Linked DNA regions of Rattus norvegicus. The protein of the gene in region 7 interacts with the protein of the main gene of each other region in a pairwise test. Links are inferred from orthologs where the notes say so. Each region holds a gene or a part of one and is shown on either strand. Other genes may lie near its edges.

Region 1 (3,784 bases), on a different chromosome or scaffold from region 7:
GGCTGTCCTCATTTGGATTCCTGCTGTTTCCCTCCCCTACCTCCGAGACCAAATCTGATGATTCCCTGCTTTGTGTCCCTTATGTTTGTTATAGCTTGGCCCTGAGGAGCCGCGAGCTCGGGCCAGGCGGAATTCCCAGCCATTTGTTCCCTGTCTAAAGATGATGATCTTCTGTGCACTGCTGTGGCTGAGGTGTCTTGGGGGTTTGTGTGCACATGTTGGGGTCTCTAGTTAGACACATGGGAGGCTGAGACAGGAGGAGCGCCTTGAGTACCAGGCCAGGTGCGATTACATAGCCAAATTGCATTTTCACAGAAAAACAGAGAAGGCTGGCATCTCCAGGTGTGGTAGCACGCACCTTCAATCCCAGCACCAGAGGGTTGATGGCAGGCAGATCTGCGGCCTGCCAGGTCTACTTAGTGAGTTCTGGGCCAGCCAGAGACCCTGTCTTACAAGTTTCCAAACACCGTGGAGTACCCAGACGATAGGGGTGAAAGGTTTCCTGTGTGGTAGGTAGTGAGGTCCTTTCAGATGGGACCCACTGTGTTGGGGTGAGAGCAAGGAGCCATCTCCCCAAGAACATGCTAAGGTGGTGTCATTGGGACAGGGTTGTTCTCTTGCCAGCTCTGGCATAACTACAATTTTGGGCTCCATCCCAAAGTTGTAAGTTGGTTAGGCCCATGGCAGGCACTGAACCCACTAAGGCACACCCTCAGGGCTCTGCTAGGGATTAAAGTATTAGAGGGGTCAGATCCAGAATGCACCTGGAGACCCAGACGCCGAAGCCCACACCCTGAATTATGGCCCTATGTGGTCCCACAGGGCACATGCTCCTGGTGTGGTTACCTTGGCCAAGAGACCCTGTTGTGGAGCCCTTACCCCATTCTCCAACAGATGAAACCACTTCAGTCCTCTGGTTTTTATTTGCCTAATCTCTCCCCACATAGGTACCGAGGAAGGGTGACTTCAGAGGGTACACAGGGTTAGACCAGAGGCAGGGCAGCAGGAATGCCAGGGCTGGACCACCTGCTTCTGAGGCAAGTGTGGAAGATGAACAGAAGGAACCAGGCAGCCTTCAGGACCACGGAATGGAGTGGCTTCCCCAGGGGACTGACGACCTGTAACCTGGGCGTCCCTCCTTGCCCCACCACTTCCCCATGTAGCTCCTGCCTCTTTGGCAGGAAGCTGAAGCAGGAAAGAGGCTCAGGTTGTCTTTCCCTAGAGACCCGAGGCTAGCTGGGACCTGAGGCTAGCTGGGTATTGTTCTTGAAGGGTGGCCTGGGGTGGGGGACTCAAAAGGTGGCAGTTGTCCATGGCCCCTGGCAGGTGGGGCTGGCATTGCCCTTGCTGCTCCTCAGCTGGGGCTGAGTGCTGGGCTGCCCTCAGGGCTGTCGCTCACCAGGCATTCGTTGGATTTGAAGCTCGCCAGGGACTTGCAGCTGGGGATGGAGGCCAGGGAGCCGCAGAGGCCCAGCATGGAGGGCGTGGGGTCCTTCCCTGGGGAGAGAGGGCGGGTAAGGCTGGGCCAACCGGTCTGCGTGTATGTGGGGAGGAGGTCCTCATTGGTGGGCAGAAAGGGGGCTATTCTCATGTCATCCCTAGGAGACACGGCCTCTTCTGCAGCATCAGCCATTTTTAATTAAACCTTGATTGAACATCCCTTGCACAGGGCTTGAGACACTGTGTCATAAACCATCAGTTTATGTCTCTGTCTGCCCCTGAGGTTCAGCCTCTCTTTGTCCATTTATTAAGCACACAGTGAGCATTTGCTCTGTTTCACACTCTGGGGATACAGAGAATGGACAAGACATGGTCCCTGCCCGCGTGGAGCTCACAGTCTGGTGGGACACACACACACACACACACACACACACACACACACACAGAGTCACAAACACAGTGTGGTTAGGTTACATGTCCAAAGCCTGCCTTGCCTCAAAGTCAAGTTATCTGATACAGTATAATTATATATCTATATATTAAAGAAAAAAAAGACAGGAGGTCCAGGCATGGGGGGAAACTAGGAAGGGCGTAACCAAGGTGGAGGGGGGGGGTCAACACAAAACGCATGCGTTGAAGTCCTGGGCATTCACTCGGAGGGAGCCACTAATTTGGTTCTGAGCTTCCTGGCAGCCAAAGAGAAGGGGAAACATTGGTCAGGCAGGAGTTCACAGTGTGCGTGTGGGAAGAACTAACTAGGCTGAGGAATCCCGGGAGTAGCCCTGTGAGGATGTCATGACAGTAAAAAGCCACTGAGCCCTCTCCATACATGCACCCTGGAGGTTCCTGTTCCCAATATCTCTAATTTACAGATGGAAATAATGGGTCAGCAAAGTACAGAGGCTGACCAAGTTTAAAGGTTGAAGAGGTACAGCCCAAGTTGGGACTTTTTTTTTTTTTTTGAAACCCCAGGCCAAGCTCCTCATTGGCATATAAGTACAGGAAGGGCTGAGAGAATAAGGGGTTCAGCCATGGCCTGACTACCGGGCCTGTTCACTTTCTGAAGTGTGTGGGCAGGGTGTGCTCACCGATGGGGCCCCAGGGTTCCTCGTCCCTCTTGCCCTCACCCAGGCGCTGGGAGTCTGAGCTCAGGCTGGCCTCTGCAGACAGGGGCTCCGTACTCATGAAGCTGTGTCTATAGCAAAACAGGAAAGGGTGTGGGGAGTTACCCACAGCTCCAGGCCCTGCTTCCTGGGACTGGGATGTGGGGATAGCATTCGGCTGAGGCTTACCTCCGAAATAGCTTGGAGTTGCTGGCACCCTCCGGTCTACTGAGTGTGCTCAGGGAGGGCCACTGGTTGACCAGGGCTGTGGTGAGCTCCTTGGAACCCTGGGCCAGGGGGGCATGGTCACCGGGGATCAGACCTGTCCTGGGAGGGGGAGGGGGATCAGGCCTGGCTGGGAGAGGGAAGCAAGTCTCAGCAAAGGTGGGGGCCAGGGTTTAGAAAGGAAATTTGAGTGGTAAAAAAAATGGGGATATATGCTGCTCAGGGAGGGTGGCACATGTCTGGAATTATGGCACTAGGATCTCTGAGGTAAGAGGCTCACAAGTTCTGCTCCTTAGTAAGGTGGCCAGGATTAGTGATGGAGTGTTTAGAAATCAGTTGGGATGTTGTCGGGAGGAGAGTAGAAAGGGTGGGTGTTCTTGAAGGGGTGGGGTTTGTGCTAGCTAGCTGGGTCAGGTTCGGGGAGGTAATGTTCCAGGTTGGGGGAGGGGGTGTCACTGGGTGATGCCTATCAGAGGTCTGTACAATGGGGATGGTGCACAATAAAACAAGCCTGCTTAGGTCCTGTGAGGAATGGTTGGTGTCGCTAGCTGATGGGTATTGGAAGCTGCCAGGTTTTAAGGTGGGGGGCAGGTAATGTTTGGCCACCACAGGATCTTGGGAAAGAGGATGGGATGAGTGGGCTGATGCGAATTGGATGTCCTCATGATCCCATCCAATGGAGTCATGTTGGGGTTCACAGGGGTCAGGGCGGGAGGCGGGCTCACAGCTGCTCCTGCAGCTCCAGGATCACTCCTTCCAGCTCCCGCTTCTCACGCTGATTTTGTGCCGCTGCCTCCTCCAGCTGCAGCTGCAGCCGCCGGTTCTCCGCCTCCAGGTCCTTCAGCTGCGACTCCCGCAGACGCACCAGCTCCTCCAGGTATCCCTGCGGGGCGCCGGCTCAGCCCGGACACCCAAAGGGGTCCCGGCTGGGGTCCCAGCCCAGGCCCTGCCCCCACAGCGCCCAGCTCCCCGCGCCTCGCCCCGCGCACCTTCTGAGCGTAGACAATGCGAAACTT
Region 2 (4,569 bases), on a different chromosome or scaffold from region 7:
ACCTTGTTAAACAGGCTGGCCTTGAACTCATAAAGATCCACCTGCCTCTGCCTCCCAAGTGTTGGGGTTAAAGGCACTATGAATAGAATTTTTTAAAACCTAAAAGCTGGAGATGGTGGTGCAGGATTTTAAACCCAGAACTTTTGGTAGGCAGAGACAAATGAATTTCTGAGTTACTGGCCAGCCTAGGGTACATAGTAAGTTCCAGGCCAGCCGAGGCTACACAGTGAGACCTTTTCTTTTTTCTTTTTTTTTTCTTTTCTTTTTTCTTTTTTTCGGAGCTGGGGACCGAACCCAAGAGACCTTTTCTTAATAAAATAAAATGACAAATAAATATACCTTGGGACCAAAAGAATATCCCCCTTGGCCTCCCTGGAAAGACCTAAGAAACTGATTTTGATCCATGGGTTACAGAGGGAGAACAGCTTTAAAGAGGTTCTCAGCTGTGGAGCCTGGCCTCTGCAAAGCAGCATACCATCTTCACTGCTGAGGGAGGAAAAGGCTAGCTTGGTCTTTCTCGAGAGACAATGCAGGTAACCATCAGGACAGTATTTTTAAAAAACACTCAAGACACAGACCCAAGCTGGGTTTTATTGAAATGCCAGGAGCAGGCACATGTCAAGGGAGCCAGGGAAGGAATATTGGTGATGCAGGCTATGAGTGTGCAGGGAGGAGCAGACCTCATGTCCGACCCTGCATCTCCTCTTGGCCAGAACACGTTAGGGTCCCAATAGCATGCTGAGTCCTGTAAGGGTCCTGCCACCTGGGCCATGATGGCTCCAAGGGCAGGGACTGGAAGCACTAAGTTTTCTCCCTTCTGAGGGAGGAAAGAAAAGGAAGAATGCAGGCTAAGTATAGTAGGGACAGAGGTGGCCAGGGCAGACTTTCTTGAGTATCTGCACCCAAGCTGTGGTCCTGGGCAGTGGTGGGGAGCAGCATCAAAGAGGCAGCCAAGGGCCTGGCCCTCAGAGAGCCAGAGCCCCAAACCTGTGGAGGTTGGAGTTGGCCCTGCACAGAGGTTCAAAGGGACTGAGTGCAGGCAGTTCCCAAGTCAATGAGTCCTCAGAGCTAGGGAGCTCAGCCTTCTTGGGACAAGGAAGAGAAGAAAGAAGGATCCATCCCCAGCTGGGAAGCAAAAGGTGGTCTCTCCTACTTGGCCCCATTAGGTCAGTTCTACATTGTTGGCACGATCCAGCACTCGAGAGCCACGGGCATTGCCTCCAAGCTGGAAACGGCTCTCATAGAGAGTGGGACAAAGGTGCCAGCGATTGGCTCGGTAGATGCCCAGGTAGGTGTAGACATCAGGTTTGTAAGTGAGCAAGCACTTAATGCCTGCAGCACGGATGGCAGAATCTGCCTCCAGTACTCCCAAGCGGTCCGTGAAGTCATCCGTGTAAACACAGATGACCTGGCGCCCACCCTCCTTGGCCCGTGGGCTCACCTTGGCCACCTGAAGACGGCCCTCAACTACAGCCCGGGCAATGCCAGCCCAGGCATGGTCCAGCTTGAAGCCAGGTGCCAGGTGAATCAGCCACTTGCCGGAGAGCACATGGTGGGTGATGGCCAGCTGGCGCAGGGTACCTGGTGTGATGGGTCGCCCACTGGTCTGCAGAGCCTCCCAGGCTGCCTGCAGCCCTTGTACATCCCCTGAATTGGGGGTGTAACCCTGCCCATAGGCTGCAATCCAGCCCACAGGTTCAGAGTTGGGTGAACCTGGGTCCCCATAGCGAGTAACTTGAGATGGTGGGTACTTGGCCAACCAGGCATCCAGCTCTGTGGCAGGTGTAGTACGGGCATCAAATACCAGCCAGGGGTCCATGTCAGCTGCCATGGCCTCTGCAGCCAGGTGCTCAGCAGTGAAGCCATCCTCACGACCACCTGGAGAGTCCTCCTCTTCCAGCTCTTCATTTGGTTCCATCCTGTTGTGAGGGAACTGAGTCAGAAGTTTGAGACAGTAAATAAAAAGTACTGGGTCCTAGAGGGTGCCAGGCACTGCTTTTAACTGTGGCCTTGGGCAAGTCTTAATGTCTGTGCCTCAGTTGCTTCATCTTCACAATGGGATAACAACTGATCCTGTCTAGATTTGTCTCTAGAATAAAATGCCTGAGGTGGAGTCGCTATTGTCAGTACTACTTTCACTGCTTAAAAACAAGGAAATTGAAACTCTGAGAAAAGGGGCTTGCCCAAGGTCATGTCTGTAAAGACCGTTAAAGCTTAAGTGTTAACTGGCACAGGACTCTGCTACACCACAGGACTAGAGTCTCGCAGGTAGCGCGGCGCTGCAATTTAATGGACGTAGGCAAAACGCAGGTTCGCCAATCTCAGAGGCTGGCTGGAGAGGGGCCAGGCCTCCCATGGTGAACTATTTGGGGCACACTTATCAACACCAAGACTCTGAGACCCAGAGAGGACAGCGGCCCATCTGGGGGTCAATGGGCAACATCCGGACTCGAACCTGATAGGACAGAGTCTGCGCGAGGACCAGGCTCCAGCCTTACCACACCCGCCGCCATTAGTGTTCACAGGTAAGGGTTGCCTCCACCCCCGGGCTGCCCTCTCGTCGCCCCACAGTCACCTCCGGCCTTCACTCCGCTCCGCGCCAACCCAACTTCGGGCCCGGCTCCGTTCCTGCCCGGGGTCTGCGCCGCCACCCCCGCCGCGCCCCGCCCCTGCCACGGCCGCCGCCGCCGCCGCCATCTTAGGGTCCCGCCACCTCAACAACAACTTTATAGACAAACACAGTCACGGGGCGGGGCCAGAGGCGGAACCAGAAGGCTAGGGGCGGGGGCTCCAGGGGAAGGGGCGGGCTGAGTTCAGGGGCGGAGCCAGCGCGAGAATCCCGGGAGGTGCAGGTCTTCAGGAGGCGGAGCTAACGTTCGTACTTTAGCTTGGAGGGCGGGTGGGCGTGGCGGGCGATCCCTGAGAAGGACGCGCACCGCCCTAGAGGATCCAAAGCCCAGCGCTTGGGTTTTGGGAGCTGCTTTTCTACGAACGGCACTAGGACCCTGCGAGAAGTGGTGTGGGCGGAGTAGGCGGCACCAGGACCGGGGGGAACCGCGGCCGGCTGGCGGCGAACAGGCCCGGGGCCTGGAGGCTGCGGGCGGCGGCGCTGGGCCCGGCGCAGCGTGAGAGGCCCCGAGATGCCAAGCAAGAAGAAGAAGTATAACGCGCGGTTTCCGCCGGTGAGCACGTGGCCGGGATGGGCCTCTGCAGGCTAGGTTCCTGGGAGGCTTGGGCCCAGGTCCTGCTGGTGGGGGGACGGGTGCTTTTAGGTGTTCATGGCCTGACGCCCCGCCCCTTCCATGCCCTCCTGGCTTAGTGCCCCCCGCCCTCTTCTCCTGGGATACCCCCCGGTTCACTCAGCTCCCCTGTAGAGACGCAGGAGACGAGCTCTGTCCCCTTCCCCTCGGCAGGCGCGGATCAAGAAGATCATGCAGACAGACGAAGAGATTGGGAAGGTGGCGGCAGCTGTGCCTGTCATCATCTGTATCCTACTAGGGGCTGGCTGGGCTGAGGGGCGTGGGGCGGGACTGCGGCACTCCCCTTTTTGGATTCTCCTTGACGTCCTCAGCCCGGGCACTTGAGCTCTTCCTGGAGTCTCTGTTGAAGAAGGCTTGCCAGGTGACCCAGTCTCGAAATGCCAAAACCATGACCACGTCCCACCTGTGAGTGGCCGCTAAGCTGGGCTTTTGAGGAGGCAGTGTTCTGACAGGGGGAGTGGTGCGCTGCTGAGGGAGGCCAGCTTTGTGGGTTTGGACTGATGTAGGAGAGATAAGGTGTTTCAGGTGGAGGGAACAACCAGAGCCAAGCCGCCCGCCCGGGAGGCCTGGTGGAAGTGGGGAGGGGTGTTCCACTGTACTGACACGAAAAGGTTGTTTCTATGATTCCGGAACATCAGTGTTTTGGGGGCCCTTTTTGAACACCTTCCTCTCCCACTTCTACAGGAAGCAGTGCATTGAGCTTGAACAGCAATTTGACTTCTTGAAAGACTTGGTGGCATCTGTGCCTGACATGCAGGGTGATGGGGAAGACAACCACACGGATGGGGACAAGGGTCCTCGAAGGTGGGTAACCAAAACCAGGTATATAAGTGGGAAAGGCCAAGGCCACAAGGGTTGGGGGTGGCTGGGGGGTGAAGAAGGGGAGAGAGTCCTCTGTGCAGATGGCCTGTACCTTCCCGAAGGGGCCGGAAACCAGGCAGCAGTGGCAGGAAGAATGGAGGCACAGGAAGCAAAAGCAAAGACAAAAAGCTGTCCGGGACAGACTCAGAACAGGAGGTGAGTGAGGCCGGTGGGGAAGGCCTGGTCTCATCCTTGTTACAGCCTTTGTATCTAACTCCATTGCCTTACCAGGGTTCTGGGCTCCCCAGAGAAGGGCCCAGACCTTCTCATTAACCTGACCCTTGCTGTGCTCACAGGATGAGTCTGAGGACACAGATACAGATGGGGAAGAAGAGACACCACAGGCCCCACCCCAAGCCAGTCACCCCCCTGCCCACTTTCAGAGGTGAGCACCCCAGGGATACCAGAAAGAGGCACAACAAACTCCCCAGAGCCAGTTAGTTTTACT
Region 3 (3,186 bases), on a different chromosome or scaffold from region 7:
CACCAATAAACACAATCCCTTTTGCTGAGGGGGGAAAAAGGAAAAAACAATACAACTAGGGGACTGGAGAGATGACTAAGCAGTTAGAAGTTTGCTCTTCCAGAGGACCTGGTTTCTGTTCCCAGCACCACATGGCTGTAACAAAGTTCCATAGGATTTGACACAGACATAAATGTTTGCAGAACACCCATACACATAAAAATAAATTTGCACATGCGAAGAACTTGAGAGGCGAAGAACAGGCAGGTCTCTTAAGGGGAGCTTGAGAGTACACTGTAGTAGTCCTCAGACACACCAGAAGAGGGCATCAGATCCCATTACAGATGGTTGTGAGTCACCATGTGGTTGCTGGGAATTGAACTCAGGACCTGTGAGGACTAGCCAGTGCTCTTAACCACTGAGCAATCTCTCCAGCCCAACCTTGAGGATTTCAACCTTTTATAATTTGGGGGTTTTAGACTTTAGAGATTTTGATCTCTTATGGTTTGCTTTGTTTTCAACCTTTTTTGTATTGGGAAGAACTTTACCACTGAGGCTTACCCCAGTCCCAGGAGTTCAGGTATGGGAATGTATCTTTCAGAGTCATTCTTGACTGTTGCAAGCTGAGCTCCTCCTCACTCACACTCCTCAGTGTGGGCAGGAAGATTTCAGCTCTGAAAGTCCCTTTAAGGCCTCCCTTGGAGCAAGGTGTAATAGCACACAGCTGGAAACCCCTCCACACTGTCTGTAGTCCCAGTCTTCATATTGAAGGCTGGCCAAGGCTACAGTAGCAAGACCCTGGTTTTTTAAAAAGGCTACCTTTGAGACTGAGTAAGGACCCACTGCTGGGCTGAGCATATGCATGAACTACGCCATACACAGGGCAGTCATAGCATCATGGGTCCATAGCAGAGCTACACCAGCCCACAAATGATGATGAGGACCTTTCTTGCCAACAAAGTATTTTAATAGTTATAAAGTGTCTTAAAGTTTTCTACTGAAGTAAGATCCCAATGCTTATCGCCAGTCAACCCTAGGACACCCAAAGCCAGAGATCTGGTGGGCTGCCTCTGGGGCTGGATTAATATCTTGTGTCCAGAGGTGTACATCTCAGGAAATGATCCTCAGGGATGGCCTTTCCTCCTCCAGGGCCCGAAGCTGGTCTTCCACCTCATCCGTCCAGTAAATGTCATACAGGCTGTACACAGGCAAGCAGGAAAGATGAGTCGGGGTGCCCCTATTTACTATGCCCATCTTCCTGACAACCCTCTGAGCCACGTACACCACCTTCACCAACTACATCCACTTACACAAGCTGCTGAAGGGCGCAGCTGGGCTGTTTGAGGCTCTCCAGCAGTTGTAGGACACCGGTGTCCCCCATGCAGTTGTTACTGAGGTCCAGTTCCCTCAAGCTGCGGTTGGCCAGCAGGACAGTGGCAAGGCTGCTGCAGCCACTGTCTGTCACATCACAGTCTCCCAGCCTGGGTCGGGAGGACAGAGCTGTTCACATCTGAGCTTTGGCGGGAAGGCAGCCCTCCACACTTCAAATGTAGCTAAGCTTCCCTTGGCTGGATTAGAGAACTCTGGCTTCATACTCATGTCTCTCAGCACCAGGAGCCTGGCTAGGTCAGAAGCCTGTGCACCAAGGCTAAGCTACATCAGGATGCCCACTGAAAGTGGCAGGGTAGGCAGGCTTCCAGACTGAGGGAGAGTGGGACACAGGCCAAAGGTAAGTGGTCTAGCATCCATACCAATCAGAGGGAGCCCAGGAAGCCAGAATACTAGGGAGTACAAGGTACAAGTAGGCCAAGTGACATCAAGAAGCTGCTATAGATTGGCTCCCTGAGGTGTGCCCGAAATTTGCAGAACTGTATCTGTAGGTGATTGTAGCGGGCCCCAAGTCTCATGGAACAGGACCCACACTTCTTTCCCCAAGATTTCCAGATTATCCCACAATCAAGATGCTAGTTCCTGGACAGGAGAGACTACAGGGCTGTAATCCCCGTAGTGGCCTGGCCCACCCGTCAACTAGTGTCCAGTCCAGAATGACCGAGAGGCAAGATGTGCTGCCACAGAAGGTAAGGCTGAGGTAAATGGTAAAAGACAAAACACTAAGAGCAAAATGATACTCTGGACTGGCTAGAAAATGGGGAATCTTAGAAATGAGAACAAAAACTTAAAAAGAGGACAGGAATTGAATTGTTCTCCCTTAAAACCCAAGGACTGACTCCTGGATGCTGAGGGAGAAAGGAAAAGGAGAAAGATCAAGAAAGCACATTACTTGTCCAGGCCAAGACCCACATATAGGCAAATCAATAGCCCAGAGCACAATGGGTAGGAAAATTTAAGAGCTGCCAAAGAGGGCTGGGCTTACTTCCTGCCAAGCCCAACAAAGTGAATTCCATGCTTGGAACCCCATAGTAGAAAGACAACTGCAAGTTATTTTCTGACTTGCACATGCATACATGGTGTATGAACTTGGGCAAACACACGGGTAAACAGAAATGTAAAATTTAAAATCTGCCAAAAAACCAGGGGTGGTGACTCATGCCTTTAAATCCCAACACTTGGGGGGCAGATGCAGACAGATCTCTGAGCTCAAGGACAGCCTGGTCTACAAAAGCTAGTCCAGGACAACCAGGGCTCTGTTATACCAAGAAACCCTATCGTGGAAAACCAAGGAAGGAAAGAAGAAAGAAAAACTGCCAGAAAATAAAGTAAAATAGGCAGACACACAGGACACAGAGATCTTCCTGTGGCACAGCAGAGATCTCCCTGGAACCAGAAAGAAATAGAAATAAATACCCCAGGCTCTACATCTAGCTCAGTGACCAGCATGCACAGAGTACTAGAAACAAGAGTACTAGAGTGTAGAACTCATGCTTGGAAGGTAGAATGTGACTAAGGAAATGAAGGAACCCAGGCCCGGTGGTACAAGCTTATCCCTAGCACTCAGAAGGCAGAGACAGATATATTTCTGAGTTTGAGTACCAGGGCTACACAGACCCCATTTCAAAAGGGGGTGAGACAGGTCATCTCTCCCTGGGGCTTCTCACAGAAGGTGGCCAGAACGTGGAGCTATGCCTGCCTCTACAGCGCAGCACACTTACCAAAGCACACGCAGCACTGTGTCCGGATAGCCCAGGGCCTTGCAAAGCTCCACGACTCCCGAGTCTCCCAGCGGGTTGCTGCTCATTTGCAGCTCAA
Region 4 (3,973 bases), on a different chromosome or scaffold from region 7:
GCCACCATACCTGAAGGCACAAGGTTTCTCTCAGAGCCTGTGGGCCGTATCTTGAGTAGCTGGGACTAGTCAAGGGCTGAGCCTGGGAGACGGGAAAGGGCTGCAGGGTGGGCTGTGACTATCAAAAGTTGTCAAAACAATACTACTGCCCCTCCTAGGACTCTTGGGGCTCTGGGTCAGCCTCTATTCTAGCCCTGAACTTCACTTGTTAGACTAAAGCAGGGAAGGAGCTGGTCCTTGCTCAGATCTGGGGAGGTGCGTGAAGGCATCAGCACCAGAAGCTGCAGCAGAGGGACCAGCAGGGTCTGTGTGGGGTCTGATGCCTCCTCTCTGGGCCTAGCCTCTACCCTGGCTCAGGACTGCTTTTGGTAGATGCCATGCCCATCTGAGAAAAGGTTGTCTGTAGATTCCAAGGCCGGCGACTGCCTTGGAGTGCCTCAGACAACCGGAAATGTTGCTTCTTATGTCTACTTCAGGGAATACTGGAGTCAAGAATCCAGAATGTCTTCAGAATTGTGACCTTCCCTATAGGGATAGATCCCCCAACCCCACCCCATCCTTCAGGGCAACCTCTTTGGATCTTTTTGTTTGTTTGTTTGTTTGTTTGTTTTTTGAGACAGGGTTTCTCTGTGTAGCCCTGGCTGTCCTGGAACTCACTCAGGCTGGCCTTGAACTCAGAGGTCCGCTTGCCTCTGCATCCCAAGAATGTGTGCCCAAGAGGCTGCAGAGAAGCTAAGACCTCAGATGGCCTGGACACAGAGAGCCCTGCTCTACTATGAGAACCAAAAGACATCCTCAGAAAATTACACCCTGTCAGGTCTCCAGCCTCAGTTCCTGGCTACCACTTTACAAGCAAACTGCAAAGTGGCCCGGTAGTAACCATGTACCTACATCACCGCTAGGCTCTGGGCCCCCCAAGTGATCCCACCTGCCCTAGCACCCCTAGAAACTTTAGTCCTCAGCACCTCAGTGGGGCAGAGGAAGGTGACCAGGTGGCTGTTGCCCACCCAGGCAGAATTCAGGGGCATCAGACAAAGATGAGTGAAGGACACTGCACACTTATGCTGGCTCTGGACGCCAGGTGTCCTGGGAGGCTGAGTCACAGGTCCAAGTTCTTAGTGGGTTACAGAAACAAGTTCATTTTGTTCCAAGGTCAGAAGTGGAATTCACAGGGGTTGGGGATTTAGCTCAGTGGCAGAGCGCTTGTCTAGCAAGCTCAAGGCCCTGGGTTCAGTCCCCAGCTCCAGAAAAAAAAAAAAAAAGACAGAAGTGGAGTTCAGGCTAGAGTTGGGATTCATAGACACTGTAGGGTGGTTTGGGATGGTGGTTCACAGGGAAAGCGGTGTCTGAGGTCACGCTGGGATTAGAACTGAATGGAGAGATAGCAGGCAGGGCCACAGCCAACTTCCCATCAGTCCTGCGTATACTGCAGCAGGCCCAGGGTCTCTCCCCGTTTGGCCAAGGTCGCTCAGAAAAGACAAACTTTGTGGGACACACACACACACACACACACACACACACGGGGCTCAGGCAGCTTGGCAGCGAGGATCAAGTAAGTCTGACTTTTGAATTATTGAGTCAGGGGAGTTCTAGGCCTCTTGCCCTTAAACAGGACCTTGGCACTGTGAAGAAGGGAGGAGCCCACACATCCCAGGGTGCCCCACAGTAGCCCAGGCTCACTTGGTGTTGTCTGAATCAATGGTGTGGAAGAGGCCCTCCAGCTCCTTCTCATTGAGGACGCCATCCGCGAAGAACAGTTGAAATTCCTCAAGGGACAGTTTCCCGTCGTCTGCAATGGACAGGCAAGGAAACAAGTGACTGCTTGTCTCAGAGAAGAGAGCGCATGGTAGCCTACAGCCTGTCCTCAGCTGACAAACTCCCTGTTGTCAGCCTGAGGCCTACTGACAGGTAATCCCAAACCATCGGAGACAACTGGTTTCTGGGGAGCAGATACCTTCATGCTCTATCAGGCAATCACCCCTTCTGCTCTCCCCTCAGTCATCTGACATAGACATTATTTTTTTTTTTTTTGGTTCTTTTTTTCGGAGCTGGGGACCGAACCCAGGGCCTTGCGCTTCCTAGGTAAGCGCTCTACCACTGAGCTAAATCCCCAGCCCCCTTACATAGACATTATTTAAGCAACATGCTTAACCTGATACCACTAGCCTATCAGGGATCATGCTCAATCCAAGCCCCAGGTCCCAGCTCTGAAGCAGTCTGAAGATAGTCCTTCTATTCCGTCCTTCCTCAAGGCAACAGCAGGCTGAGCTCAGACCTTCAACCTACCCTAGAGCAGGACTTTGTGCCACATGGTAGGTAACAGCACAGTCCCCCACCTTTTGGGTGAGGGGTAGTCAGTGGCTCCATATTTCATGGCGTAGCTGGGCTGCATGGAAAAGCTGAAGCCAATGCTAGATTCAATGAATGTGTGCTGTAATTGATTAGTCATGTCTGTCCCGGGCACAGCATGGGGTGTGCTAACACCAGGCCAGGCTTCCCTCTTGACTGTTTCCACCTGCTTATCATGGATGGTACCTCAGTGTCCTCTGTACCCAGAGAGAACAGGAAGCTGGAAGACAGGGCCTGCAGATCCTCTGACATTTACCTTGGGTGCTAGTCACAGGCCTAATGAGCACAGATGAGCTATTAAGAGGAAAATATCCTCCACTTGGCCTCTGGTCCAATTAGAGAAGACAAGTTGTCCTGCAGTTTCATCACCTCTGCCAATGACCCAAGTGGGGCTGTTTGCAGGTGGTGCTACTAATGAGCAGGAGCCCAGCCTGCAGCAATGACCTTTCAAATAGCAGGAACCTGTGAGCCTCACATCCTTGGATGGAAGGGCTGGCTGGTCCTCACCCTTCTGCTGAACAACAATGCCAGTCTTTGAGGGTGATACCCAGGCCTCTCACACTAGCCTTCCCTTGGGGATTAGCTACCCCGTGTCTACCACATCCAAGCTAGTCAATCATGAGAGCCTCCCAGAGACACTCAGCCTTGTTCTCATAATGGAAGGCATCTTGCATACATTGGCAGATGTATGCATTGGCACAGAGGCCCTCCTGTGCTTTGGGCACAATGGCCTCAACGGAGAAGACAAGTTCAATCACCCAACCTGTGGGAGTGGTGGGGGTCAGGAGGGTGCAGTCTAAGGCTCCAAGCTGACACTCCTGTGACCTGTGTGGGGGGCAGGGGCCAGGCCTCTTTCCCTGGGTAGTATAGGCTCTGCACAGTGCTACCACACCTTTGGTACCCTACATCCCTGTGTTGTGTGTGGAATCTGCAGGTGGTCCCCAAGGCCTGGGAAGATGCATACCATCCCTGGGACAGGCCCAAGAGGGCAACACTCCTCTATAATGATCCTAGCCCAAGCCTGTCCCCCTGTCCTTCCAGATCCCAAAGAGCTCCATCCCAACCCACAACCACGTGGGACAGTTAACAACAGCTCCTAGGAAGGGCAGAGGAGGTGGACAAGGCCGGAGCCACCTTGAATTAAAACCCACTTGGGAAGGGCCTCAGGGCAGGTGACAGGCAAGGGTTCTCTTCTGCAGTGTTGTAGGTCACCCACGTACATCTCTTTACCTCACCCCAAAGCTCAGGGCAACACAGGACAGCTGTTACCACGTCAGCTTACAGAAGGGGAAACCGAGGCACAGAGCAGTGACAGCACTTAGCCTCTGGATTTCTTGCACTCTTCACCCTCAGGTCCATAGTCGTCCATGTTCCCACCCCTAGCTGTTTCCCATGAAGCACCAGGACAGGGAGAGTGCGGGCAACGAAGCACCTAGAAGGAAACTCACCGTTTTTATCCGCACGGCGGAAAATCTGGAGAGAGGAGGGCTGGAGTCAGTCCTGAGATGAGTCTGGGCAGGTGCCCTGAGCAGCCTCGTAACCCAGCTTGAGATCCCTCTCCCAGGAACAGCTTGGGTGAAGCCCAAACTTCCCCAGGAGACCTCCAGGCTGGGACCCAGGTTGG
Region 5 (4,453 bases), on a different chromosome or scaffold from region 7:
TCTGGTCCTCAGTGCCTTCAAATAAATACAAAGACTGGAGGGGAAAAAAAAAAAAGGAAAAAGGAGGGCCCACACTAAACAACAAGTCTCTTCCATGTCCCGAAACGTGAGCTTGCAGGAAATTCTCTGAGGGCTGGCCGCCAGTCAGTCGTCCGTCTTGCGGGCCAGTCTACAGAAAGTCCAGTTGTGCTCTACTGTGTTCTCATTGGCCCGCTCGCTCATGTGATGCACCCGAGTATTGCGGATCGTGAAGCCTTGCTTCGTAATGTACTCCATCAGGTGGACCCGAAGGGAGACTTCCTGGTGGTAATCGCACGGTCCAAAGGTGAAAGAGACCTGACAGTCTCTGGTATCCATCATGTGTTTATTCCACTTGGTAAAATAGTTTGAGATGCCTTCCAGTAGGGAATGGACCTTGGTGGTGATGGTCAACTGGGTTATGATGACAGCCACGGGATTGGAGTATTTAGAAAGCTTCCGAGTACTGGACAGCTCTACAACTTCTTCAAAAGTATCCATAGGATACAAAGGCTTAGGGTCATTGAGACACTGAATCAGGGGCTCGATCTGGTAGAAGTCGGCCTCTTTCCGAAGCAGATCAAACTCCTTGAAGTCCAGGGGGAGCGTCAATTCTGAAGTCCGTAAGAAGTTGAGGACGTAACGGAAAAGCGGTCCGTCTCGATCGATGAAGTAATTGCCTTGAGGGTCTCTGGCTGTGGGGAAGTCACCTCCAAACATAGCTCCAAGCATAGAATCCGGGTAGCGTGTCAACGTGGTAAGAGATGTCGTGTACAAGTGTCCGCCTACATTTAACGTGACTGGGTCAGTCATCTGAAATTTTTAAAAATCCAATTAATTACCTGAAACCTTAAAAATCTTAACTAACAAATTTAAAAAATCAATACTAACAAGCAAGGCACAGACCCTTTCAAGCTAATGTGTCTGGAAGCACTAGGGGCCATAATGGCTTTATTTCCAATGATAAAACCTGCCCAAGAGAATGGCTTCAACATTTGCTTTCAAGCAGAGTAAATCTAATCCTTCAAAAGTTTGCCATAACCCTGCCAGGTCTGACCTTTAGCGAATCTAAAGAGGTTTTTGGGTCACATCTGCCTGCTTCTACTTCCCCCGTACTAGGATTAAAGGTGCATGCCACCACACCTGACAAAACCTTCCCTTTTTTTTAAAATCTAACATAAGCGGGTTAGGGATTTAGCTCAGTGGTAGAGTACTTGCCTAGCAAGCGCAAGGCCCTGGGTTCGGTCTCCAGCTCCAAAAGAAAGAAAAAAAAAAATCTAACATAAGCTAGAATATAAAAATAATCTGATAATGTAACAATAATTAATTTAGGGATTCTGTTGGATTTTTCTCCTCAAAGGAGTCTCGAGATCTAATTTTTTTTTTTTTGAGACAAAGTTTCGGATAACTTAGGCTGGCCTCACACTCCCTGTGTAGCTAAGGGCGGTCTAGAATTCCTGATTCTCCTACCTCTGTCCCACTGCTGAGACAGTGCTAGGATCACAGGTGTGCACTGTCTCACCCAGCCGTGAATGTACGTACGTACGTATGTATGTATGTATGTATGTACGTGTGCCTCATCTGAGCCAATGGTGTGGTTCTAGGAACTTGGAGTTGTGGATGGTTGTGAGTCATGGAGTAGGTGCTAAGAACCAAACCCAGGTCCTCTGCAAGAGCATAAGCACTCTTAACTGCTGACCCATCTCCCAAAATGTATTTAAAAACAAAAATTTGTTCAGAATCATTCTTAGTAATTTTTTTCAGGGAAGCATCAGTTTCTTCTTTTCTGCCTTTTGTTGTTGTTGGTGGTGGTGGTGGTGTTATGACAGCATCTTACTATACAGATAAAGCAGGCCGGAAACTCATAAGCCTCTACCTCCCAGGGGCTGATATTACAGGATATTACAGGCCTGTGCCACCATGCCCCGGAAATGAGTTCCAAACACTAAATTAAAATACATGGTTTGGTGAACCCAATCTAGCCCATCTACTAGCCCCAAACTACCACGTGCCAAACGGCCGGTAGCGGCTTTAAAATGTCATATCTGATCGTGTATTCATTTTTATAACATTAACGTTGTAATCTGACCTTTAATTCTGAGAAGCAAGCTTCTCAAACAAACAAACAAACAAACAAACAAAAAAAACCCCACACATTCAGCTTTAGAAATCCTATTTAAGGAAAAACAAGAAATGGTCTTCAGGTACTAAGAAAGCAAAAATATGTCTTACCAGATAGAGAAGGAAATAGGGATGCACGGACGCATGTGAAAACTGCATGAGAGAAGAACCACTTTCTAACTATTAATCCCATTCCTACAATAAAGCAGTCTCCGTTCCGTTATTCATAGGCCCTTTAAACATCACCATCCCATGAACAGAGAATGTAAAAAGCAATATACACCAACGACCGAAACATCAAGGTGTATCTGCAGTTAGTGGAGTTACTATGGGAGCAGGAGAGATGGCAGGAGTTAAATGCCATGTGCTAGTGAGGTGGACCTGAGCTCCATTCAGGTAGCTTGCAGTAGCTCCAGGGGAAATCACACGCCCTCTTCTGGCCTCTACGGGTACTGCATGCACTGCTCCTCCCACACATAATAACAAAAAAGGGCTATTTGGAGAATACCCATTGAGTCTAAAAACGTCAAACCAGATAAAAATGCCCTTCCCCAAATACATGGGGAATTAGATAAAGCTGGAAAAATCCATAGTCTGCATCCTTTTCAAGTAAACCTATGAATGCGAAAAGACATCCAAATTATTTGGGAGCCCGCAAAGTGAGCAAGCACTCACCATATAGCTCCAGTCTCCATTATCCATCTGCTCCAGCACTGCGTCTCCAGGAGCTCAGAAGCCAGGGAAACTCTGGAAGAAGAAAACCAAACACACAACCATGACAATGGAGAAGAAAAATGTTCTGCCAAATGTAGTTATTCAAACCTCACAAAAACTGCTCATTTATGGAACAGGTCAACTGGAAGCTACAGCAGGCCAAAGATGTGGAAAAACCACGCCATGCTCTGTCCTCGCCTCGGGAGCCCGCGGGGCACAAAGAACTAGCCTACGCTTGGGGAGAGAGGAAGGGACCATTGCGATCCTGTCATCCGGGCTGACAAGATGGCTCAGTAGGTGATCCCTACTGGGATTGGTCCCTGGGACCCTCATGTGGAAAGAAAAAACTGACCTCCACACGTGTCCTCTGACCCCACACTCACTCACACGCACCCACACACACAAAATAAATGCCATAAGAAAATTTACACGTTGTGTCACTCCCGCAGAGGTGTGATTTTTACATTTTCAGAGAACGTCACGATTGGGTCCTATGACCTTCATGACCAATTTTTGAACTTCATCGAAAAGGTCATTTGAGGGAAAAGGAGGGAGATTCCTTTGGATCACCATGCCAGCTGCATAAACCAAACATCTCAGTAAAAGCATTTAAAGTCGTGAGCTTCAAAAGTAACAGTCATTTTCCAAGAGAAACACACCAGGATAGTATCTTATAAAAAAAAAATTCAATCAGGGTTTCTAATCATGACGTATTCCTCTTTGTACATAAAAACAAACCAATTTAAATGACAAACTGTTAGGGCGCAATTTGGGACAAAAAAGACACTTATGGAGCTGGCTGAGGGTCACTCAGTGCTGCCTGCTTCAATCTGTTTTTATCTACCATTCAAGGGCGTGCTAGCCTTACCCAGCTACTCAGCTGCCTTCACTTCATCAGTTCCCTCTTGGGCACGCCATTCCCCAAATCAACCTGTCCAGCAAACCGCAGAGCAGATTTCAAAATCACTAGCAAAGAAGGCAGGAGCCTCGGGGCCCATCGTATTCACCCAGGAACGTCGCTTGCTCTGTATGTGGTCTTTGAAGATCCGTTTATCCCACTTTTGGAGGAATCTGGCCCCCATTTCCAGCACAAGAACAAGGCCTGGCTGCAGAAGATCACAAAGGCTCTTTCTCAAAAGGTCAATCAGGCGTGTGGAGAACATTTGCATGGCACAGCAGGGGACGAAACCAGAGCCTGCAGCCGCTAGTCTCTACCTTTACACATTCTTCAAAGCAAATAAAACTCAAGGAGAGGCAGTCAGCTGCCTTCCTCCGCTCCAGGCGGCTGGCTGCAGGCGGACCAGGCCTGAGTACTACTATGGTGAGATGAACAAATGAGAGGCCAGAGCTGCTGTGACGCCTTTTCATCCCTCTGACTAAACTCCACAAACCCCCATCTGAGGTAAAGGAAGAAATGAGCCTTACCAATGTGTTGGTTCCACTACAGATAACAGCGCACCAACAATGGAGGGAATTAAAGGCACTTCCTACTACTCGAAGTATTCTTCCCCAACTGCCTCAATAATGATCCAGCCAAAATGTATGCAAGGTCCACTATCACAGGGCAGGGAAGCCCATGTAAAATACAGATACTCGGGAA
Region 6 (3,973 bases), about 41 Mb from region 7:
GTCCTGAGTTCAATTCCCAGCAACCACATGGTGGCTCACAACCATTTGTAATGGGATCTGATGCCCTCTTCTGTGGGGGTGAATACAGCTACAGTGTACTTATATATAATAAATAAATAAACAAACGAATAAATACATCTTAATAAAAAGGAATTACACGATAGTGTTAAAGATGGTCCAGCAGTCAAGAGCACTTGCTGTGTTTGCACAAGACAGGTTCCACCTTCACTACCCATGGGGGCAGTTGTAAACTGCACGCAACTTCACCCCCATATCCGATGTCTTCAGAGGGCACCCCACACATACCCCACTCACACAGTTAGTCTTCACTTTCCTTTTCATCAGCATACAAACTATAAAGCACTGAAAAGTAAGAGGCTGTGTGTCTCCTGAACCAGAGCCTGAGTACAAACGTGTCTGAGAGCTTCTGACAATTAACAATTATTGAGAAAAGCAACTAACTACCCCTCCCCAGAAGGCACTATTTCCAAAGCACTGCTGCAACACTGCAGGTCAGGCCTGACAACCGCTAGTGATGAAGATGAAAATCTCAGTTTCTGCCACAGAGCACTAACACACATTGTGCTTACACCAGACAAAACCAGACACTTATACCTCTCAAGTGATTCCCTTAAAAAATTAAAGAAACACTTACCTTTTTCAACTTAGGTAGCTTCGGGAGGTCTGAAACTGAAAACAAGCCTACATTTATTAAACTGAGGAACTCTAAGTTCACAAATTCATCTGTTAACCCCTCGATTTTTCCATCATTTGCTTTGCAATTGTCCAAGACAAGTTCTTGAACCTGTGGGTATAAACAAAAACAGGAATAAGCTTTAAAAACTGTAACAGGAAACAACAAAAGCAAACAACTCTAAATACAATCCTGCGAAACTTCCAAATTCAAAATAGCATTCATGTACGAGTAGGATCAGCTACAAATAAAGCAAGCAGGATTAGCTTTGTAGCAGCATAGTACTAAGACCCAAAGACAACTGCTAGTTCATAACACACACACACACACACACACACACACACACACACACACACACACACACACACACACACACACACACGGGTGTGTGGGTGGTGATGGTGCGTGCACATACTCTATATCCTACCAAGAGGCACAACAGCTCTCAGAACGTAAGTGAACCTGTGTCCCTGTCCTTTCCATGGCTGGGTCTGGAAAGGGCTTCGTCTTAAGTTCAAGTGCAGAGCGAAGAAACCCTTTCAGGCTTTCTCTCTCTCTCCAAGTCCACGAAGGGCATGGCCATAGGGAGATGAACACTTTGCTTCTGCCACAAAAGTCACCAAGGCACTTGAGCACTTGATCAAGGATCCTGCTGCTTGAAGCAGGATAATCGATCTTACCGCCACTCTCTACAATGTGAACCAGGCTGCCCCCAAACTCATAGACTTCCCCTGTCTTTCTCTGCCTCGTAAGTGCTGGGGTTAACAGCATACACCAACCACCATGCCTGGCTTTTCCTTGCCATTTTCAAACGAAAAAGTCACAAATAAATCCTAGTAAGGATTTTTACACCTGCACACTCTCCAGTTTCAGATCTTTTCTGTTTTGTTTTAAAGAGGGTCTGACTATGTAGCTCTAGCTGACCTAGACTTTGAGATGTTGACATCTGTCTTCTCTGACTCAGAGACCCGACTGCCTCTGCCTTGTGAGTGCTGGTACTGAACTGTGCCGAGCTAAGACGATTTTCATTCTCGTATAATAATAAAATTAAAATGTCCTAAGATATGACACTAATATGTCCAAAACAAGTGGGGAGGAATTAAAGATTATGCCACACTGCCTCCCAAATGGGATGAAAATTTTCTCCTTGATCCTTCTTTTAATTGCTAAGATTCTGTCCAGTTTAACTACTGTGTGGGATGATAAGAAACTTCCCTAGGGGGTTGAGGGGGAACAAAATATTATGGCAGCTCTATCACTGAGCAGACTTAGGCGCATTCTAAATGTAAAGCCAACATTGCTGCTGTACAAAGAAACCCTATCATGGCAAGCACCACAGGACATTCAAATACGGGCTAAAATACATTTGCTAAGGCAAATAGCAAAATGGAGATTATAAAGGAGACTGGGGAAAGGGCCCAAAGTGGTTGACCACATGCAGGCCTGAGTCTGGTGTTGGACAGGGACATTGAGAGAGGACTTAGGTTCTGGTTTAAGGAAATGCGAACCTACGAGGAAATAAAGAACAGCACTTTGAGGAGAAACAATGAATGCTATAGCTGGAGACACACTCAGAATCTCAATGGTGGTCTGGATTCAGGCCTGTACTCATGAGTCATCAAGGAAGAATAAGTGGCAGGAACCTGGTATTCCTAGAAAAAGCATCAAGGATTGAACTCAGGGCAATTAAGAAAAAGACAGGCAAGGTGCCCAAAGCTAAAAACACCCTCCCCAAGACAGGGTAGGGTTTCTCTGTGTAGGCCGGGCTATCCTGGAACTCAAGAGACCTTCCTGCCTCTGCCTCCCAAGTGGTGGAACTGAAGACTTCATTTTAAACCCCAGGAAAGCTGGCTCATAAACTAAGGTGGGCATGGTGACAAGACATCTGTGATCCCAGCACTTGGGAGGCTGAGGCAGAGGACTGAAAGCTGAAGGGAGTGTGAGCTGGTCAGGTGAGTGCAGTCAGTTCCAGGTCAACCTCAACTACAAAGTAAACCTCAAAAAATATATAAAAATAAAATAAGACGACCTGAACACAGCCAAGCATGTGATGTCTCACTTGGGAGGTAGAACAGGACTTCAACAAGCCTTTCTGCCATAGCAAAGACAACATATTAAAACTGTTCCGTGGGGGGGGGGGGGGGCTGGAGAGATGGCTCAGCAGTTAAGAGCACCCGACTGCTCTTCCAGAGGTCCTGAGTTCAATTCCCAGCAACCACATGGTGGCTCACAACCATCTGTAAGGAGATCCGATGCCATCTTCTGGTGTATCTGAAGACAGCTACAGTGTACTCATATATAATAAATAAATCTTAAAAAAAAAAAAAAAAGGACTGTTCCGTGGGAAAGCACTACTGTGCTGTGAGCTCAACTCCCCATCGCTCATATAAAAATATAGCAGAAAATTGACTACACAATGGGCCTGACTCCCACATGTACACTGTGGCACTTGCATGACCCTTGCACATCACACACATATTAACTTTTTAAACTTTAGAACAAAACTGAAGTGGGCAGGAGTGACACTGAACTTCTTGGTGAAAGTGCACCCCACCCTGCCCTGCCCCACCTCCCATGATGCACCTGTGTGGGCTATGTTCCAAAATAAAGGACAAGCAGCTCAGGAAACATTCACTGTGGTAGTTTGAATAGGACTGCCTCTCATAAACTCACATCTTTGAACGCTTGACCCAAGGGAGTAGCACTATTCATTAGGAGAAGCCTTGTTAGAGTAGATGTAGCCTTGTTCAAAAATGGTGTCATTGGGGGTGAGGGAGGGAAGAGGTGGGAGGGCTCAGATGCTCAATAATCACTACCTGCTACCTAGGAATCAACCCTCAGCTCCTTCTCCAGCACCAAGTCTGCCTGCATGCCACCACGTTTCTAGCCATGAATATCAACAGACTAAACCTCTATATTGAAAGCCAGACCCTTTTAAATTTTTTCTTCATAGAGTTGCTGTGGTCATGGTGTCTCCTCCTAGCAATAAAACCCTAAGACTTTTGATTTTAAGCAGGAGTAGGTAGTATGGCTAAGAAAAGACAGGTCTGACTTCCAGAAATGCCCAGATGAGTCAGTTGGAGTTGCCACATCAGGGCAAGCCGTAAGGCTGCACTCAGAGAAGGTCTTAAGTGTCACTGGCTAGCCACCTTCAAGTCTGTAACGTCCTTGACAGAGTCTGAGCTGGTGGTGGTCAGGCCAGTTTCTCAGGAAGCTGAGGCATTAAGGCATGGCAGTAGTACACGTCAGTAATCTTAGAACACAGGTAGAGGTGACAAG
Region 7 (4,187 bases):
GAAATGTTCATCTTTTCTACATTAAAAATATTTTTCTGTAATGAAAGCACTTTCTCCCTTGTCTTATTTAAATAATCACAAGTACTAATCCTTCTACAAAACCATACTTAATGACACAAATACAATTTCATTTCTTTTGGACCTACATTCAGAACAAGTCCATAGAGCAAGGTAGATAATCAAACTGGGAATTATAAATTTCCAACAAGGTAGCCTATATAGAGCCTGCAAAGATTTTTTTTTTTTCCGTTCAGTCTCTGAACAGCAGCTACAAATTTTCTGTGCTATTGGAAGCATGGTTACAGTGAAAAGGACAAATTCTTGAGCCAGACTAAAGTAGTAGAACCCCGAGTTAGTTTTAAGTGTCACTAATACATGTGGATGGTCTCTGGCTTTACTAGGGACCCAGCAGCCTTTCCAGGTTCCTTTGACGCCCGGTATGCAGGGAGAAGGTGGCCACAGGCTGGGCATCTAGGCCTCCCAGCAAGTGTGGTCCCATGACATCAAGTGTGCAGGGTGAAGAGGGCCACGGCCTGGCCAATAAAGACTCCCAGCTAGTGTACTGCCAGACAGTCTGAGCTCTAGGACTGTCTTAAGAGACCCTGGGTGTCAGGCAACCTCACAGTAAGGACTGATGCAATCACAGACAGACTGACATTTAATATTTTTATACATTTAATAGGATAATATCACATAAAATAATAAGATAGGCACAAACTAAGAAGGAAAGAGTCAGGATAAAGTGTCATTGCCATTTTTGTTTGCAGGATAGAGTCAGAAAATGGAACAAACTGAGATGACTAGGGAAACATTCTAAACCCACCCCAACCTAGCTAAAGTTACATAATGTTAGGACTCAAGTGCCAAATTAGATATTACCCACTTAATCTACGAGTGAAAAAGAGACTCCAAAATTTATCCTATTTAGTATAACAACTTTTACATGAAATATATAGCAATTTGTATCTCAGAAAGCAATACGGCAACTCTTAGGCGTTTCCTTTATGCAGTGACTAGAAAATCTTGGTACAGCTAGGCAGCTCTGCGACACCAGTAAGCTGCTCAGGGCTAGCATAGAACAGCTTGATAGAGAGCTAACCTCTCAGGTTTCAGAAGGCAGCAATAATTCTATTTTGGCTTTTATTCTAAATGCTTACTGTAGTTAAGGCGACAACTGAAGCACATTAAGTGAAGGTAGTTAGAATTTAGTGACAATCATTAGTCTCTTGCCACCTACACAGAACTGTATAATGCTTTTGTGGAATGGAAGTGTTGATTAACTGGAATTTTACACACTCACACACAAACTTAAAAAGTAGCGATCAAAGGCAATCATCCTACAGGTACTATGCTGATGTACTACAATCCACATATGCCACAGAACTGAAGCACGTGCCTAGCACTGTGCACTTCTCGGAGAAAGCAGACCAGTTCTCGGACACAGCTAAGCCTACACCAGTCATCCTAATCACAATGGCTTATAGAAAAACATCAGGTTCCCAGTAAAGAACCAAGTCTAGAAAGTCAGGGAATCTTTTGAGAGTTTCACATCTGTAAAACCAGGATAAGGCTACACCTATCTTAAAATCTGAAGACGCTCTCAGATAGAGTGAGGTTCCCAGCCATGGTGGAAGATAGACAGGTCTCCATGCAGCACAGTCTCCCTGGATCCGGGAAAGCTTCATGTGCGGTGAAATAGAGAAGTTGCCGAAGAGGAAGACTGGAAGCGTTCGGCGGTGATGCACTGTACAAGGTTTAAACTTCAGGAATGGTGTGATCCATCAGGCTTTTCATAATGCTGGGAGCCATCCTACAAGAGAGCCACTCATGTAACTGGCGTCTTATTTTCAAAAATACCATGTTCACCTAAGACAACCCCAGTTCCAGTTTAGCACCTGTTGTGCTGATGAATTTGATGAAGAAGGAAAGGTCTTTAAATGAGCACAGATCTAAGGAACTAATATCTGAGTTGTCACAAACTGTCCAGGAAGAATAGATATTTACGTCAGGGATAGACATGCGAGAAGGTGCGAGGCCTTTACACTAAGACTGGTTGTTTAACTGAAATGGACGACTGTGATGACTCAGAAGAAAAGGAGGGAGGATAAGGAACCTACCATAGTTAAAAAAGACTGTACAACAATCAACTCTTTTTCCTGCTCTGAGGGTAGCTAGCTTCATTCTACCCAAAACCCAAACATATAAACAAAAATCCATTACAAAGGTTACGTTTATGTATATTCCAAATCTCACTTTCATGTGCTATATCAGGGCTCTGGAAGAAGTGTGTCCAAGACAGCATGGCAACAGCTATGAAGGAACAAAGGATCTGAAAACTCTGGATAGAACCACCTTGCTGGCCTATGACTGTACCCTCTTCGGTTCCCAAGGACAGATAGTGAGCACCATGCAGCTCTCTACTTTCTAAAACACAGGAGAGAACAGCAACAGCCACTCTCAATACCTCGCAGGCAAGCCACCCATTAGGAACCACCGTGACCAGATTTCTAATCTAATATGCAGAAGACCTGCAAGCCGAAGGCAGTGTTTACATGTGTGTCAGGTGCTGGCAAGCATAAGTGGAAGAGCTCCCAATCTACTTACCGTTTAATAATATGTTCGAAGATAAAGGCAGGCATGATTGTGATGGTGACCACAGTCCCAGCTGTTGACAGTATATCTGCAATCTGAGCATCCTGATGAAACAATAGAATGAAGTTTCACTAAGGTGTTCTCTATTGTTAGGTAAAAAAGGCACTATATTTTGATGTTGTCCTGCTGATATCGCTGGAGTCCCAGTCCCGGTATGTCAGAATTTTGATTTTAATCTGACATATAATTTTCTTAAGCTAGTAGCAAAGTTAAGGTACGGAACAAAACTCTTTTTTCTTGCTTGAGAACTACCTGCGCCACAGTTAACTGTGTTCTAGAATTTATGGACTTAGTCAAAATCTACAAAAATACAAAGGATTACTAAGTACCAAGACTTACTCCTTTTCTGTATTTCTGGAATGAAAAAATTGGCCATGCATCCATTCAGAATGTCTGAATATTTCCCTGCCCATGTCTCAACAGAATTCTAGCTTAAGGAATGCCCGTAATCACAGTTTAGCCACCTTGGCATAGGAAAGGTAATTCAAATAACCCAAAGTTACTTCTGGATGGCCTAAGCTAGAGCCAGAGCCCCAGCTCCTGCACTTACCTCCCACCAAGTGTGACTGGGGGGTCATCACAAAAGCCCTGCCACCTAAATGATGTTTTCTACAAAAAAATGACACCGAAACCAGGATCCTTACCTTCAAGGTAAGGTGAGTTCCTTACCTTCAAGCCAATGACGTTCTGTCCGTTGATCTCACAGATGTGGTGATCAGTGAGAAGGCCGTTTCTGGCAGCAGAACTGTCTTTCACTATGGATGTGATTTTTCCACTTTTAAAGATAAAGCCAACATGTCCACTGCTGTCCTTATGCATGGTAACTGTCCGTTCAAAGGGTCTGAAGCATAAGGGCTGTGTTAGACGGAAACTTCCACTTCCTATTTCAATACACACGCATGCCTACAAACTCTGCCACATGGGGTATGTTGCTACAGTAAGCGCTAGGTGTTTCTAATAATCTATTATGGTTAACATGTCACACGGGTTGACTGACTCACTACTGAGATACCCTGTTAGTGTGAGGAGAGAGCATAGTGCTCCATGGAGTTATCACTGCGCTTTCCCTCCACAGCCCACATACCTTGCGTTAACAGTGAGCCAGATGCCCTTCCACTAAACCACTAAGTCCTTCCAGCACCTCTGGAACCAGCTGGTCTCAGACATTTAAGCCTTAAACTTCCCTGCACTTTCCACATCTCAGTTTTGACATTTTCACGGATTCGTTCCTTTCACTTACTTACTAGGTGTGCTATGCATAAAGTGTAAGTTGCAGGATGAGCTCTCCCCACCACGTGCGCCAGGACCCCACCTAGGTGGCCGGGATTACAGGCAAAACTTGGCTCTAATGTGAAAGACCCACCAGAGAAGCAGTGAGTGGGGGTTCATGAGGCCTGACTGGACGGGAAGGCACAAGCTACAGTTAAAAAGGCCTCGAGCTCTGCCTGCAGAAGCTGTCATGCCACTAATGCTCGCTGACTGACTTTCTGAACGTGCTCTGTTTACAGCAGGAAAGTCTGCAGCTCTACCTTCCT

The links.
Region 1: the proteins of Sdcbp (region 7) and Rundc3a interact in binary tests that used the Homo sapiens proteins (3 or more experiments, as listed by UniProt). The two-hybrid records come from large-scale screens. The link is inferred for Rattus norvegicus from reciprocal best matches to the Homo sapiens genes SDCBP and RUNDC3A.
Region 2: the proteins of Sdcbp (region 7) and Bles03 interact in binary tests that used the Homo sapiens proteins (3 or more experiments, as listed by UniProt). The two-hybrid records come from large-scale screens. The link is inferred for Rattus norvegicus from reciprocal best matches to the Homo sapiens genes SDCBP and C11orf68.
Region 3: the proteins of Sdcbp (region 7) and Rnh1 interact in binary tests that used the Homo sapiens proteins (3 or more experiments, as listed by UniProt). The link is inferred for Rattus norvegicus from reciprocal best matches to the Homo sapiens genes SDCBP and RNH1.
Region 4: the proteins of Sdcbp (region 7) and Necab2 interact in binary tests that used the Homo sapiens proteins (3 or more experiments, as listed by UniProt). The two-hybrid records come from large-scale screens. The link is inferred for Rattus norvegicus from reciprocal best matches to the Homo sapiens genes SDCBP and NECAB2.
Region 5: the proteins of Sdcbp (region 7) and Kctd6 interact in binary tests that used the Homo sapiens proteins (3 or more experiments, as listed by UniProt). The two-hybrid records come from large-scale screens. The link is inferred for Rattus norvegicus from reciprocal best matches to the Homo sapiens genes SDCBP and KCTD6.
Region 6: the proteins of Sdcbp (region 7) and Anp32b interact in binary tests that used the Homo sapiens proteins (3 or more experiments, as listed by UniProt). The two-hybrid records come from large-scale screens. The link is inferred for Rattus norvegicus from reciprocal best matches to the Homo sapiens genes SDCBP and ANP32B.

What each region holds. Positions count from the first base shown.
Region 1 is NC_086028.1:87,859,024-87,862,807, reverse strand, and holds the end of Rundc3a (RUN domain-containing protein 3A), read right to left. Parts: coding exon 3,758-3,784; intron 3,652-3,757; coding exon 3,494-3,651; intron 2,895-3,493; coding exon 2,733-2,894; intron 2,636-2,732; coding exon 2,529-2,635; intron 2,127-2,528; coding exon of another isoform or gene 2,107-2,126; exon of another isoform or gene 1,498-2,106; coding exon 1,355-1,497; 3' UTR 905-1,354; downstream 1-904. UniProt on the Homo sapiens protein: May act as an effector of RAP2A in neuronal cells.
Region 2 is NC_086019.1:212,162,129-212,166,697, reverse strand, and holds Bles03 (UPF0696 protein C11orf68 homolog), read right to left. Parts: upstream 2,807-4,569; 5' UTR 2,698-2,806; coding exon 2,576-2,697; intron 1,934-2,575; coding exon of another isoform or gene 1,920-1,933; coding exon 1,163-1,919; 3' UTR 552-1,162; downstream 1-551. Other genes in the region: Drap1 (dr1-associated corepressor), read left to right, coding at 3,141-3,182, 3,414-3,486, 3,572-3,665, 3,945-4,064, 4,163-4,277, 4,418-4,506.
Region 3 is NC_086019.1:205,697,958-205,701,143, forward strand, and holds the end of Rnh1 (ribonuclease inhibitor), read right to left. Parts: coding exon 3,090-3,186; intron 1,461-3,089; coding exon 1,290-1,460; intron 1,178-1,289; coding exon 1,090-1,177; 3' UTR 929-1,089; downstream 1-928. UniProt on the Homo sapiens protein: Ribonuclease inhibitor which inhibits RNASE1, RNASE2 and angiogenin (ANG). May play a role in redox homeostasis. Required to inhibit the cytotoxic tRNA ribonuclease activity of ANG in the cytoplasm in absence of stress.
Region 4 is NC_086037.1:64,412,784-64,416,756, reverse strand, and holds part of Necab2 (N-terminal EF-hand calcium-binding protein 2), read right to left. Parts: coding exon of another isoform or gene 3,823-3,973; coding exon 3,798-3,822; intron 1,790-3,797; coding exon 1,681-1,789; intron 1-1,680. UniProt on the Homo sapiens protein: May act as a signaling scaffold protein that senses intracellular calcium.
Region 5 is NC_086033.1:19,126,046-19,130,498, forward strand, and holds the start of Kctd6 (BTB/POZ domain-containing protein KCTD6), read right to left. Parts: upstream 2,887-4,453; 5' UTR 2,842-2,886; coding exon 2,815-2,841; intron 832-2,814; coding exon 145-831; 3' UTR 1-144. UniProt on the Homo sapiens protein: Probable substrate-specific adapter of a BCR (BTB-CUL3-RBX1) E3 ubiquitin-protein ligase complex mediating the ubiquitination and subsequent proteasomal degradation of target proteins.
Region 6 is NC_086023.1:65,545,222-65,549,194, reverse strand, and holds part of Anp32b (acidic leucine-rich nuclear phosphoprotein 32 family member B), read right to left. Parts: intron 806-3,973; coding exon 656-805; intron 1-655. UniProt on the Homo sapiens protein: Multifunctional protein that is involved in the regulation of many processes including cell proliferation, apoptosis, cell cycle progression or transcription.
Region 7 is NC_086023.1:24,311,178-24,315,364, reverse strand, and holds the end of Sdcbp (syntenin-1), read right to left. Parts: intron 3,494-4,187; coding exon 3,322-3,493; intron 2,697-3,321; coding exon 2,605-2,696; intron 1,811-2,604; coding exon 1,756-1,810; 3' UTR 653-1,755; downstream 1-652. UniProt on the Homo sapiens protein: Multifunctional adapter protein involved in diverse array of functions including trafficking of transmembrane proteins, neuro and immunomodulation, exosome biogenesis, and tumorigenesis.